3 linked regions of the Kluyveromyces lactis genome follow. The protein of the gene in region 3 purifies or fractionates together with the protein of the main gene of each other region. This does not show direct contact. Links are inferred from orthologs where the notes say so. Each region holds a gene or a part of one and is shown on either strand. Other genes may lie near its edges.

Region 1 (4,670 bases), on a different chromosome or scaffold from region 3:
CGAAGATCGTTATAGAGGAAGAATCAGAAACGGAATCTGATGTTGCCCAATTAGAAGAATCAAGCAGCGATGAAAGTGATGATACCGATGATATTGAAGAAGGTGAGGAAGACGACAGGAGTTCTACTTCTTCCGATCCTTGAGAGATCACTAACTTAGTTTAAAACCAATAGAATCTTTAATTTTTAACTACATAATAATTACTGCAATTTTCTAGTTATAATAACAAGTTAAGCTCTTCTACCTCATTGACAGGGTAGTACGGAACCAAAGCATCTGGTTGAGCGACGTATGCTCCGTTATATAGTTTCCAATATGCGTTCCGAACATTCTTAGCAGGATGAAATAAACCTCCCCAGGCATAATTCATAGAAACACCTGGTCCTAGAGCCATTCTTAGTCCTTCTAGCCCCTCTAGGATTCTGGAAATAACATGAGGTGAAGTTTCAAAGACGTTTGGCAATAATAAATTCATGCAATGGATGAACGCGTCCTCTAATCCTCTTCCTGCACAATTGAAAGCTAAATGCTTTATGCAGGTTGCTGCAGTTTGTCGATGAACCAAGTCCCTATCTGTTAGAGCATCCTGCAACAACGGTATAAGTGGATAAATGTAATCCTTAGACATGGGACCAATGTATTCTAAAATAAAGGCAAGTGCCTTTAAAATACCGTTCTGTACGTTTGTGTCAGGTGTTCTGTATTCATTCATCAATGCAGGTATGACAACAAATGGCCCACATGTCTTAGCAACGATACCAATTGCAATAGAGGTGTTAACACGAAGTTGACGTTCTTGCACCTTCAAATTATTTAACAACGTTACCAAAACATCCTGAGGTCCTATCGCTTTGGCAATATATCCAAATGTTCTGTTCGCTGCCACCCTGATGGACTTCACAGGACTTTTTAACATTTCCAAAAGCTCAGAACAAATGCGCATCCATTCTTTAGGAGAAACATATTCAGGCCCACGCCTGGCAATTCTTCCAACAAGTTTAACAGTAGATTCCTGGACTAAAGGATGGTTGTTTCTCAAAATTGGTGTCAATGATAGTAAAATTTGATTCGGAGGTGGTTGTAAGTCAGTTAGCCTTATCTGTGCAGCAGCTTTGTCCATTGCGGAAATGATTGCAGCTAACACCTCTGGATAAACTTCGCCTAACGATTCAAAAAGGATAATGTTGAATTTATTGATAAGAGCTGTTTCTTCACAGTGTTTGAAAACCGGGATCAAGAGGGCACATAAACTCGCCGCATGTGTTCTAACCAAAGGTTTTTTGTGTTTCAAATGTTCTAGAATAATACTTGACACCGGCGAAATATACGGTTTCATTCTGGTATTCAAAGATTTGGCGACAGTTCCAATAGATCTGTAGACAATTCTCTCACCATTCGTTTGATCTTGGAATGCAATAAGTAAAGCATCAAGCAACCTCGCTTCAAGCCTTTCATCAACATCTGTCATTCCTAATGCTTTCACAACTCTGTTAACTGCATGTGCACCCATTGTTCTGAACGGTTCAGATTCATCCTTTAATGGATATATAAGCTTTTCAAGCGTGAATGCAGCTCCAGTCTTATTAGCCAATAAAACAGTAGTAAATGTTACTATGTTGTTGAGTTGACGATCCAAAGCCGATCTACGAACCCAAAATTGTTTGAAAAACTCTGCTGCTAGCTCTTTTCTCAGATACTGAGGTGTTACACCTTCAGTCACGGAAAGCTTTTGTATAACAAATAGAACCGTTTTCTTCATATCTTCGTTCGGTGAATTGAATTCTCTCTTTACAATCTTCATCACTTCTTCAGCGTAATACGACGCATATTCGGGATCCATCAACGGAATGAGAAATCCTAGAGCCTTCAAAAATGCAGCTAGTTCTCTTCCCCTGTTTTGTTTAACACCTCTCCAAAGTGGTTCGAGGACCGGATTAAAGCGCTCAATACCATATGGCTGGCAGCTTTGTGCCAATGATGACACTGTTTGAGCGGCTATGATTCTCACTGGAGGATGTTCATCTTGAAATCCCTTCTCTATACATGCGATAAGATCGTCGAGGTATGGTAAGCTACCAATCCCTACTAAAATAGCAATTTGCTGAATTATCTTTATCCCAGTATGTCTTGCCTTCCAGCTCTTTTTCGATCTACAAACCAATCGTAGGAATGGTATTGTTTGACTTACCCCGAAGGCTTTCGATACAACGGCCATTGCTCTCGCCGTCGTGTTTCGCACATACTCATCCTCATGGTCGAGATCTGGTCTCATTGTGTATATCATTGTCGGTAGTCCCACGGCTTTTGCCAAAGTAGTTATAATATCTCTACCTGTAGATCTAGTCAAGGGCACAGGATCTATAAGCATAGGACATAATACTATTAGGAGCTTATGTGTATATGGTTTTACCAAATCCTGGAGCTGGAAAAGAATTCTATCCATAAGTTTCAACATTAGTTGATGCTCTTCATCTTCAAGTGTTTTATCGAGAAGAATGGGCAAGATCGAATCAAATAACAATGGTGCCCCGAAAGAGGGTGCCTTTTGAGTGAGTGCTCTGAGAGCTATTTTCCTAGAGCTTGGTAACCCATTTTTCACCTTAAGTACCAATTTTAAAACCTGTTTCTGTTTCCTTTCCTCTTCAGTCATATCTTCTGGAGACCTTTCATCAAACAAAATTGCGAAATGTTGTCTGTCTGAAGGCTTAAAGAACTGAAGATTACGTACCCCTGGAACTTCAGTAACCATCTCTTCCGAGAGCTCAGTTATAATATGCTGCGAAGTCTTGGGCATCGTATATCCACCGCCACTTTCCTCTTCCTTATCACCATCCTTATCGGTTTTCCTTCTTTTCACATCTTTCACTTGCTCTTCATCCACTTCTTCATCCAAATTCCTAAGGAACCTTCTCTTATGATAATCAGACTGTTTATTATACAAGCTTCGTTGCTTCTGGTTGGCTGTCAACTCATCATCCCCCTCATCTTTCCCTACAGTCGATTCCAATATGGCTCTGGGAGCAGTGTATTGTCCTGTAAGAGAATGTCGCTGGCCCGACTTTTCGAACTTGATAGCTTCCATTTTAAGTACAGCTGTTTAATACCAAACTCGGCAATAGCAATAAAGATCCTGATTGGTGCTTGCCTTTCAGTTATACCTTTCTTCCTTTTGATTCAAAGGTTCTTGACATCAAAATTGTTACTAAGTTGTAACTCGAATCTTTAATTATAAACACATATACAAAACAAAGAACGATACTTCTCAACAGAGAAAAGAGGATAGTTTAGTTAAGAGGCCAGAAAATAGCCTAACTTTTAGAAAAGTATTATACTCTGGGTCCATACCGCATGAGGTTACAAAATTGGATTCCAGTTTTGCTTCTAGCAGCCATCGTGACGGCTGAAGTAGACTTTGAAGTTAATCCAGTTGACAACGAAACAGAATCAGTTCAGCAAGATGTTATAGATGAAAGCTGGAATGCAGAGCCTGGGGAATCATCGAGAATAACACAGTCCTCGAAGTTTCTTTCACTAGAGCATCCTATTGAGTATAATTTTCGAGAGCATCTGGATCTAACTCCCTTGCCTAACAACTTTTTGCTTGCAAGTTTTCAGTTCTATATGCAATCAGAGCCATTTGGTATAGATAGAGACCAGCACGAATCCAGTGAATACTCTCATCACACAGTTTTCCCGAAGCCCGTTGGGCCCATTATGTCACAGACTAATACCAGACAGTTACACTTGAGATTTACACATGGGCTATGGGATTCACAAGAATGGGGCCAGCTTCCACACAACGGGTTGAAATCTGGAGGAACAGGTGTGGAATTATGGGCTATTGTGGAAGCACCATCGAAGGAAGAAGCGTTGAAATCATGGATAACGTTGGCCAATTCGTTAAGTGGATTGTTCTGTGCTTCCATCAATTTCATTGACACTTCAAAGACGACGTTTCCGGTATCATCATTCTTACCGAAAGAAGACGAAGCGATCCCACTACTGAATCAAAGCAACCATCTTTACCTCATGAGAGCAACTTTAGCCAACGAACCGGTTTGTACTGAAAATTTGACCCCATTTGTAAAACTTTTACCAACAAGAGGGAAATCTGGTATCTCCTCTTTGTTAGATGGCCACAAGATCTTTGATTCAAATTGGCACAGTCTGTCGATTGATGTCAATACTGTTTGTGACGAATCAACTGCCAATTGCCACTTTGTTATGGAAGAATTTATCGAAACAGTGGTCAACGTACCAAATGCTTTGGCCAGAGCTGACAGACCAATTCCGAAGCCTTTACCAGGCGACGAACTTCGTTGTGACACGAATAGACCACACGACGCGTTCCAATGTTTCCCGTTACCTCAAAGCAAAGAAGTTAGTTTCAGCATCTCAAAACTATTTGGTAAGAAAATCCGTGGAGGCAGCTTGCTTGGCGAACAAAGCTCAAAAATATGTGTTCACGTTCCCTCACATTGGGACGTTATGATACAGGTCGACGAATCATATTTTGCAACCGACGACAACTGTTTCGATCTCAACAATAACAAACCACATGATGTTCGCTTGGAAACGACAGACTCTAAGAGTGTACTACCCTCCAAAAAGACTCCAATATACGTTTCCAGAGCTCTCACTGGTTATGGCCAAGACCGTGGCGGGTTAAG
Region 2 (3,693 bases), on a different chromosome or scaffold from region 3:
TTTGGTCTTGGCAGGTCGGAAACACCATCATCATAACTCTTGTCTGAGACATTTATATGAGGAATATCCAATTCCTGATGAACTACTGAATCAATTACCTGATACCGAGTTTGATTTTGCCGCTATCTATGAGCGTTTAGTATTAGTGTTGTTTCATGCTCCAGCATTAGACGAAAAACCTGATAAATCTAATTATCACCTACTTAAGAGTGGGAATCTGAATCAACAATCGCAATTGTTCTTCAAGGTTTTCGCCAAGACGTTACCCGAACTGTATCAACCCATCACTGATGAAGGCGCTTTGCAAGGTTCCAAGAAGGCTACTTGGTTGTATTGGTGGATCAAATGTTGTGGTTGCAGAGTGTTGCATCGTCAGGATAGAGGAAGAGTATGGGATGTGTTGCTCGGATGGAGACCACGTCCTGAATCAATCAACTATTATCTCGAGTACAACCATAAATCATTTGAAAGCATTTATCCACCTGAATTGAAACTGAGTTCAGAGATTTTCCATAAGATTTGCAAATGTGAACATGATGAGTTTTGGTTCCCAGATTTGATGTCGTTAAGGCTCGGTCAAAATGGATTGAACCAAGATGAAGATGTCATTCGGGAATTGATACGAAGAAATAAATATGGGGACGATGGTCATACTACAGAAACACAAGAAAATGAGATTCCATATTCGCTCTTGAACCCTCATGCGGAGTTACTTTTCATATATGTTGCCATTATGCAACATAACGAATTTAAACTTTTAGAGTTTGAGGAAACAGAGATCACCGAGTTCTTAAATAATGTCCCACTGATATCAAAATTCGATGACTACAACTTCAAGAAGATGTACGAGGATGATGACATTAGTGGAAGTTCGACAGACACAGATGAATCCAACGCTTCAGGAATTAGACCAAGTTCTTCAAATCATATGATGATAGAGGTCGGTACTGACGATAAGACTGCACACTCGTTTGATGACATCTACCAGCAGGCTGGAGACATCTGGAGAAATTGGGCTTGGCAGGAAATGGAAGAATTCATAGAAGAATGATATATCAGCATTATATTTGTGTCTTTCTTGTATGTAGTATATCTTCTTTTCCTTTAATTAGCATATATATATATAAAAATACTATATACATCTCGAGCTCTATGAATATTGCAGATTGTATTCTAACCTGTTGGAGCGTTCTAACCAGCCAACTAAGATGTGAGTTGATTTGTTAAATAAAGTCATTTCTTCATCCAGTATTTTTTTGCATGTTCAAAAGAGAAACGAAAGCATTTTTATTTAACATTAGAAAACCAACATAAATGTTACATGAAAGATGAAGCACCGATATACATAATTAGATAATGGCTTCAAAAAGGAGAACCTTGGGGCTTACTTCTGGTGAAACTACTTAAGGACTGGCTAAATTGAGGTACGCTAATTATGTTCTGTGCAATTAGTGGGAAACCACCTATAAAAGCTGTTCTTTCACCTAATTCCAAATGTATATTTGAACAGCATCTAATCGAACAGTATATTGAACAGAAAGGAACAGATCCCATAACGGATGATCCATTACAAAAAACAGATTTGGTTGAAATCAATGCGACTCCACAGCAGATATCACTTTCAGAATCATTGAGCTCGTCTACTATCGCAAACAACTATAGCATTCCAAGTCTATTGTCAACTTTGCAGAAAGAATGGGATGCAGTAATGCTCGAGAATTTCGAATTAAGGAAGCAGTTAGACGTTTGTAAAAAGAATCTCAGTGATACACTTTACAGGTTTGACGCTGTTGCATCAGCGGCAGCAAAAGCTTTTGTAGAGCGAGATCAGCTGAAGCAAGAATTAGCAGAACTTACATCGGCAATAACTTCCTCGAATGTCGAAAATGATGGAACTATTGATAAACTCCAGAACTCAGACCAAATTCTATCAGACTTTACTTCAGAATTATCGACGAAATCTCAAGAGTACGTGACAAATTCCAAAAAGTCTAAGAAAAAGCTACAACACTTCTCCAACGTTTCAGTCGTTCAATCGACAGATTTCTCTGAAATTGATTTGATTAGCAGAAATCAGCATGTCAATCTTAATGAAAGATCTGTTGTTGTAAAAGATAATGACAAAGCTTTTGTGTTTGGACCTCAAGATTCTATTCTTGATGTGTCACAAGCCACAGAATATCTGGTGGAGTTTAAAGACGTTCTATACACCTTCACCCAGGGACTATTAGCAGCGTATGACCTTCATACAAAGTCTTTGTTGTATGAAGAAGTTTTGGAAGGAACTGATGGGCCAGTGATATTTATGGCTTATCCTCATCAAATATCGGATTCTTACTTCTTATTCGTAACTGAAAGAGGTACAATATATGGGTATGAAGTTACCAAAAAAGCACTGTTCACCATCTCACAAGTTAAATTGAACGATTCCGTTCAATTTGTGAATTATCATAAAGATGGAGCTCTTCTTGCTATTGGTAACCAAAACGAAGGTGTATATGTAATAAACCTATTGGCTGCTACAAAAGATCCGATTAAATTTTCAACTGGCTTCCCAGCTAAAAGAGTAGACTTTGGTTTGAACGGTTATTGGATGTTTGTCTTTGGTGATTCTGACTTGAATGTTTACGATTTAAGAAAGGATCCAGGCACCTTGGCAATGGAACCACTTTCTTTCGCTGAGAATATCATCAGTGTGGAGTTGGACGATACAGCTAAAGGTTTTTTCGTAAGCATGGGTAATTCACAAGTACAATGGTATGAGTATGTTAAGGGACAGTCATTTGTCGAAAAATCTACTCTTCCGATCGAAACAAATACAGCAGAATCCATGACATTGGTAAAAATAGATCAAGGATATTTCTTGAACGTCATCTCGGAGAATAAATGCATAACATATGAGTTGAAGTAGATATATGATACTTGTCCTAAATAAGGTATAAAAATTGTAATTATTAGAATAATCACTGATTTGATGGTGAGAGTCGTTAAATATATGATCCGATAATACGTCGAAAAATGAACATGTATGAACTCGCCCCCATATATGTACGTGATTTCATCGTAAAAAGAAGTGAAAATCATGCTCTTTAAATATCGAACTGTGTTTGTGTTTTTCTTGCAAGTGAATAAACGGGAAAGAAGATGGCATTACAGAATATGAAAAAGGGATTACCCCGAAGAACTCTTCTTTACCATCTGCTAGTCATGATTGTAGTTGGCTTTTTTGTTTTAGTAATTGTTCGATGTCTTCCTTCATACTTTTCGGTTTCGTCAACGTGGAATACCGTCCATGGACTCTCCCTGAGCGATCGATCAAAAACTTCTCAAAATTCCATCTAACGAACGTGAACCCAAACATTCGCGGTTGTTGATCTTTCAAGTACTTATATAGCGGAAGAGCATTGACACCATTCACTTTACACTTCTTCATTATTTTAAAACTGACACCGTAGTGCTCCTGGCAAAATTTTCCTATTTCTTCATCGGAACCAGGTTCCTGGTTCATGAACTGATTGCAGGGGAATGCTAATATTTCAAACCCTTTTGCATGGAATTCTTTGTACAACTCTTGTAGCTCTCCATATTGACCTCGGAAGCCACATTTCGATGCAACATTAACTATAAGAACAACTTTTCCTCGCAGTTCACTCATATGATATTCAGACCCATCTTTAGTTTCACAAGAATAAC
Region 3 (3,476 bases):
TATAGAGAATGAATTATCTGATATTTACACAATCTGTTAGTTAAGGTTGGTGATGCGGCAATAATGCATAAAATATTGGACATGCTTGGCGTATTCTCGTTCTTCTTCTGTGACTTGAATGCGACAAACCAAAAAAAAAAAAAAAAAAAAAAAAAAGAGAGATGCTTCACATTACAAGATTTAGAGTTATGATGGAGATCAACTGTGAAGGAATCAAGATTTTGATAAAGGACGGTTGTGCAACAACGTTTATTCGGGGGTTTCATCCTACTATTAATAAAACTTGCTGTCATAATAGGCAAAATAGAAGAAATCCAATGGTTCGTTTAAAGAGCAGATACATTCTTTTCGAAGTACTATATCCAGATGTAGATGATGAGTACGAAACAGTGCCAGATATAACCAAGAAGGACATTTTAACCACGCATCACAAAGTATCACCAAATACTATCAGTCCGAGAAATATTTTGCAGGAACTACGAAAACAATTACAGGTGAATTTCGGGGACTATGGCTTGGGAAAGGCTACGGCTTTGTTACAGATCAAATACTTTTCGAATAGAACATCAACCGGTATAATACGATGTGGCCATGATGACCATCAGTACGTAATAATGGCACTTGCTTTGATGAACCAGATTGAATCTGTTGGGCCCATCATAATGAATCCAATAAAAGTTAGCGGAACTATTAAAAAAGTTGAGTTATTTGCTATCAGAAGAAGTCACCGTTTGAACCGAATACTTCTGACAGATGATAGGAATGATGAGTTTTCTTCAATCACTGACGATGAAAATAATGACTGATTCGCTGATTTCATTCAATTAGTAGTGCTTGAATATTATTACATACAATTATATCAGTATATCGGTATCGCACAATTAAGAAGTATGAGGCTTCTTACGCACTTGAAGACCGTATTCTCTGGCATGCTCGTTATCTTCCTCATTCTGTTCCGCATTTTTGCCATCATCAGCAGCGGAGAACTCTACCGGTCCAGTTCTTCCTTTCTTATTTGAGAGTCGATCAACAATATCTTCGTTTTCTAAGTTAGAACCAGTAGTTGGCCTGTAAATGTTGTCAATCTGGCTATTATTGAACAATGGATGGTCGAAAATTTGATTTGAAGATGATGCCACAGATGATGCCGCTTTCTTGAACAAGCGGGAATCGTACTGAAGATCTGGGGTCTCGGTGGCTTTTGCAGCATTTAAAACAACTTTATCAGAAACATCTCTTCCTTGTTGGTACGCCAATCGTCTTAACTTTTCTGCTGTGCTCATTTTATTCGACCGTTCCAATTCGCGTTCTGCTCTCCTACGTTGATTACGCTCCATTTCCCTAACATAATGATCTTCATTTTCGTACTGTCGCCTATTTTCCCTATCCTGTCTAGCACGTTCAGCTAAGTGACGTAACCTTTGTTCTTTTTTTAAAGTTTCTTCCTTCTCTAACTCCTTGTACGCCTCTTGCTTAATGTTGATTCTCTGTCTTGCTTCTCTTTCTGCTTCGTCTAGTGCCTCAGATAGCAGAAGGAAATTGTCCTTCTTATCATTATCTGGGCAGTCCGTCTTTATTGATTCAATAGCAACTCTATTATCCAAAGAAATAGCAAATCCGTTAGGATTCTTCCAGTTCGAAATGGCGGATGGAATTCTCCATTTATCAAGCTCTTCCTTTGTAGGTTTAATACTAGGGTCATCCGACTTATGAAGTATAGGCGCCTGAATTTCTTCCGATGGTACAACGACCTTCCTTTTCCTGTGTGTTACCGGTTGTAAAGGATCCTTCTTATGTTCTATTACTTTAACTGAACGTTGAGTACCAGATTTTACAGAGCTTATTGCTTCTCTTTTTACGATGTCCTTGTTCGCAATAGACGATAATTGTAGAGAGCTCTTTTTCGTTAGCAGCGAGTCTAGAAACGCCTTAGTCTTTACATATGTTTGATTAATCTGTGATGTCGATGGGAACGGTGCCTCTAGTGATATATCACGTTGTCTAAGAGGTACAAAGTCAGATATTGAGGCCACTGGTAGATTCTCCGGTCGTAGCTTGTCTAATATTATTGTATCCTTTATGTTTTCCTTAGATTGTCTAGAAAATGCTGAAGACTCGGAGACTTCTGAGTTTTGCGGACTCGGTAGCAATGAGCTGAGTGTCCTGAATGACATGTCAGACCGTTCTAGTGGTGTTATAACAGGTTTGTTCCTATGTTTCAAGCCTTACCTACTTTACTTTATAAATTATGGGAATGTTCAATAGTTAAATATTTTCTCTAAATTTCAAATACATTGTTAAAAGTTGATATTATAATGGAAATAAGTTCACTGCAAATAGAAATTAAAAGATTCTTTCTATTTAAACAGTTTATCCTTGATTTTACCCACTATTTTAGTATCCGCCCCTTGACCTGATGAGTACATGCTGTCAAAACCGAACTTTTTATCAGAACCTTGGTCTCTGGAGATCAAACTTGTGCGAAATGCAAGACCCTCTTGAGTTGTTCTGAATTTTTGAAGTGAGTGCTGTGCAGGTGGAGGTGGATAATGCAACACGGCAGGCTTCTTGTACCATCCGCGTCTTTTAGGCTCAGGGTTTTCATCTTGTGACATAGGCGGAACCCCTATAAATCTCACCTTTTTCACAATACCTTCAACTTCGCTGTCGTTGTTTGAAGACGACTGATTGTCATCGGCAACAGAAACTATGATCTTAGGAGTTTCACTACCTTCTGGAGATAACACTTCCTGAGAGACGATTAGAGTATCATCGTCCAGCTTCAGATCGTGGAATTTCTCATTGATGTCATCTTCGTCTACTTCATTTAGCTTCAATATGTTCACTTTGTTCCTCTGTTTTACGGAATTCTGCCGTGACACAGTTGGAGAAGGTGATTTTGATCTTATAGAATTATTCAGCTTTGTTGGTGTTAGTCTTGGGCCTCTTTTCTCATTTAACGAGAGTAATGCTTTTGAATATGCATTCTGTACAATTCTTTGTGTATTCAGAGAACCTGATTGAAGAGAATTGGATCTCATACCATTCCGAGCAGTGGAAGTATCTTCAAGACTTGATACTGATTGCAATGATGACGATCTGTTTCTTGTTCTGACTGATCTGGTCTTTTTAGCCGATATATTAGACTTCGCATCAGTGAAAGGTATTGGTGATGATGGGGACCTTGATTCTTCTGACCGCGAAACTGAAGATGTCCGGCTCAGTCTTAAAGGCGATAAAATATTTGGAGAAACGTTTAATGAGGAAGAATTTGAAGTTATGGAAGATGAAGATGATGTGTTTTTTTGTGAAAGACTGGAATTCTTTTTTTCCTCCCTTTGTCTTTCTTGTTCCTTTATTTTTTCGTTGTATGCTAGTTCATCTACAGCTAACTTTTCCTCCGCCATCTTTGCCATCTCATCGATGTTCATATCGTCATATTTGCTGGCTTTCATGTTATCTGATATACTTTTCCA

Evidence for each region. The genes of interacting proteins can lie anywhere in the genome.
Region 1: the proteins of PRP45 (region 3) and HSH155 purify together in Saccharomyces cerevisiae (affinity purification with mass spectrometry, with the first as the bait; 3 studies listed by BioGRID). This does not show direct contact. The link is inferred for Kluyveromyces lactis from reciprocal best matches to the Saccharomyces cerevisiae genes PRP45 and HSH155.
Region 2: the proteins of PRP45 (region 3) and PRP19 purify together in Saccharomyces cerevisiae (affinity purification with mass spectrometry; 5 studies listed by BioGRID, with this or other methods). This does not show direct contact. The link is inferred for Kluyveromyces lactis from reciprocal best matches to the Saccharomyces cerevisiae genes PRP45 and PRP19.

The regions. Positions count from the first base shown.
Region 1 is NC_006037.1:834,065-838,734, reverse strand, and holds HSH155 (U2 snRNP complex subunit HSH155), read right to left. Parts: upstream 3,083-4,670; coding exon 218-3,082; downstream 1-217. Other genes in the region: APL6 (AP-3 complex subunit beta), read left to right, coding at 1-143; GPI-anchor transamidase subunit GPI16, read left to right, coding at 3,349-4,670. UniProt on the Saccharomyces cerevisiae protein: Contacts pre-mRNA on both sides of the branch site early in spliceosome assembly.
Region 2 is NC_006040.1:326,923-330,615, forward strand, and holds PRP19 (E3 ubiquitin-protein ligase PRP19), read left to right. Parts: upstream 1-1,435; coding exon 1,436-2,911; downstream 2,912-3,693. Other genes in the region: OCA5 (Oca5p), read left to right, coding at 1-1,051; KLLA0_D03905g (glutathione peroxidase), read right to left, coding at 3,206-3,693. UniProt on the Saccharomyces cerevisiae protein: Probable ubiquitin-protein ligase involved in pre-mRNA splicing.
Region 3 is NC_006042.1:223,868-227,343, forward strand, and holds PRP45 (mRNA splicing protein PRP45), read right to left. Parts: upstream 2,175-3,476; coding exon 882-2,174; downstream 1-881. Other genes in the region: RNA-binding protein POP5, read left to right, coding at 162-806; protein phosphatase regulator GIP4, read right to left, coding at 2,358-3,476. UniProt on the Saccharomyces cerevisiae protein: Involved in pre-mRNA splicing. Associated with the spliceosome throughout the splicing reactions, until after the second catalytic step.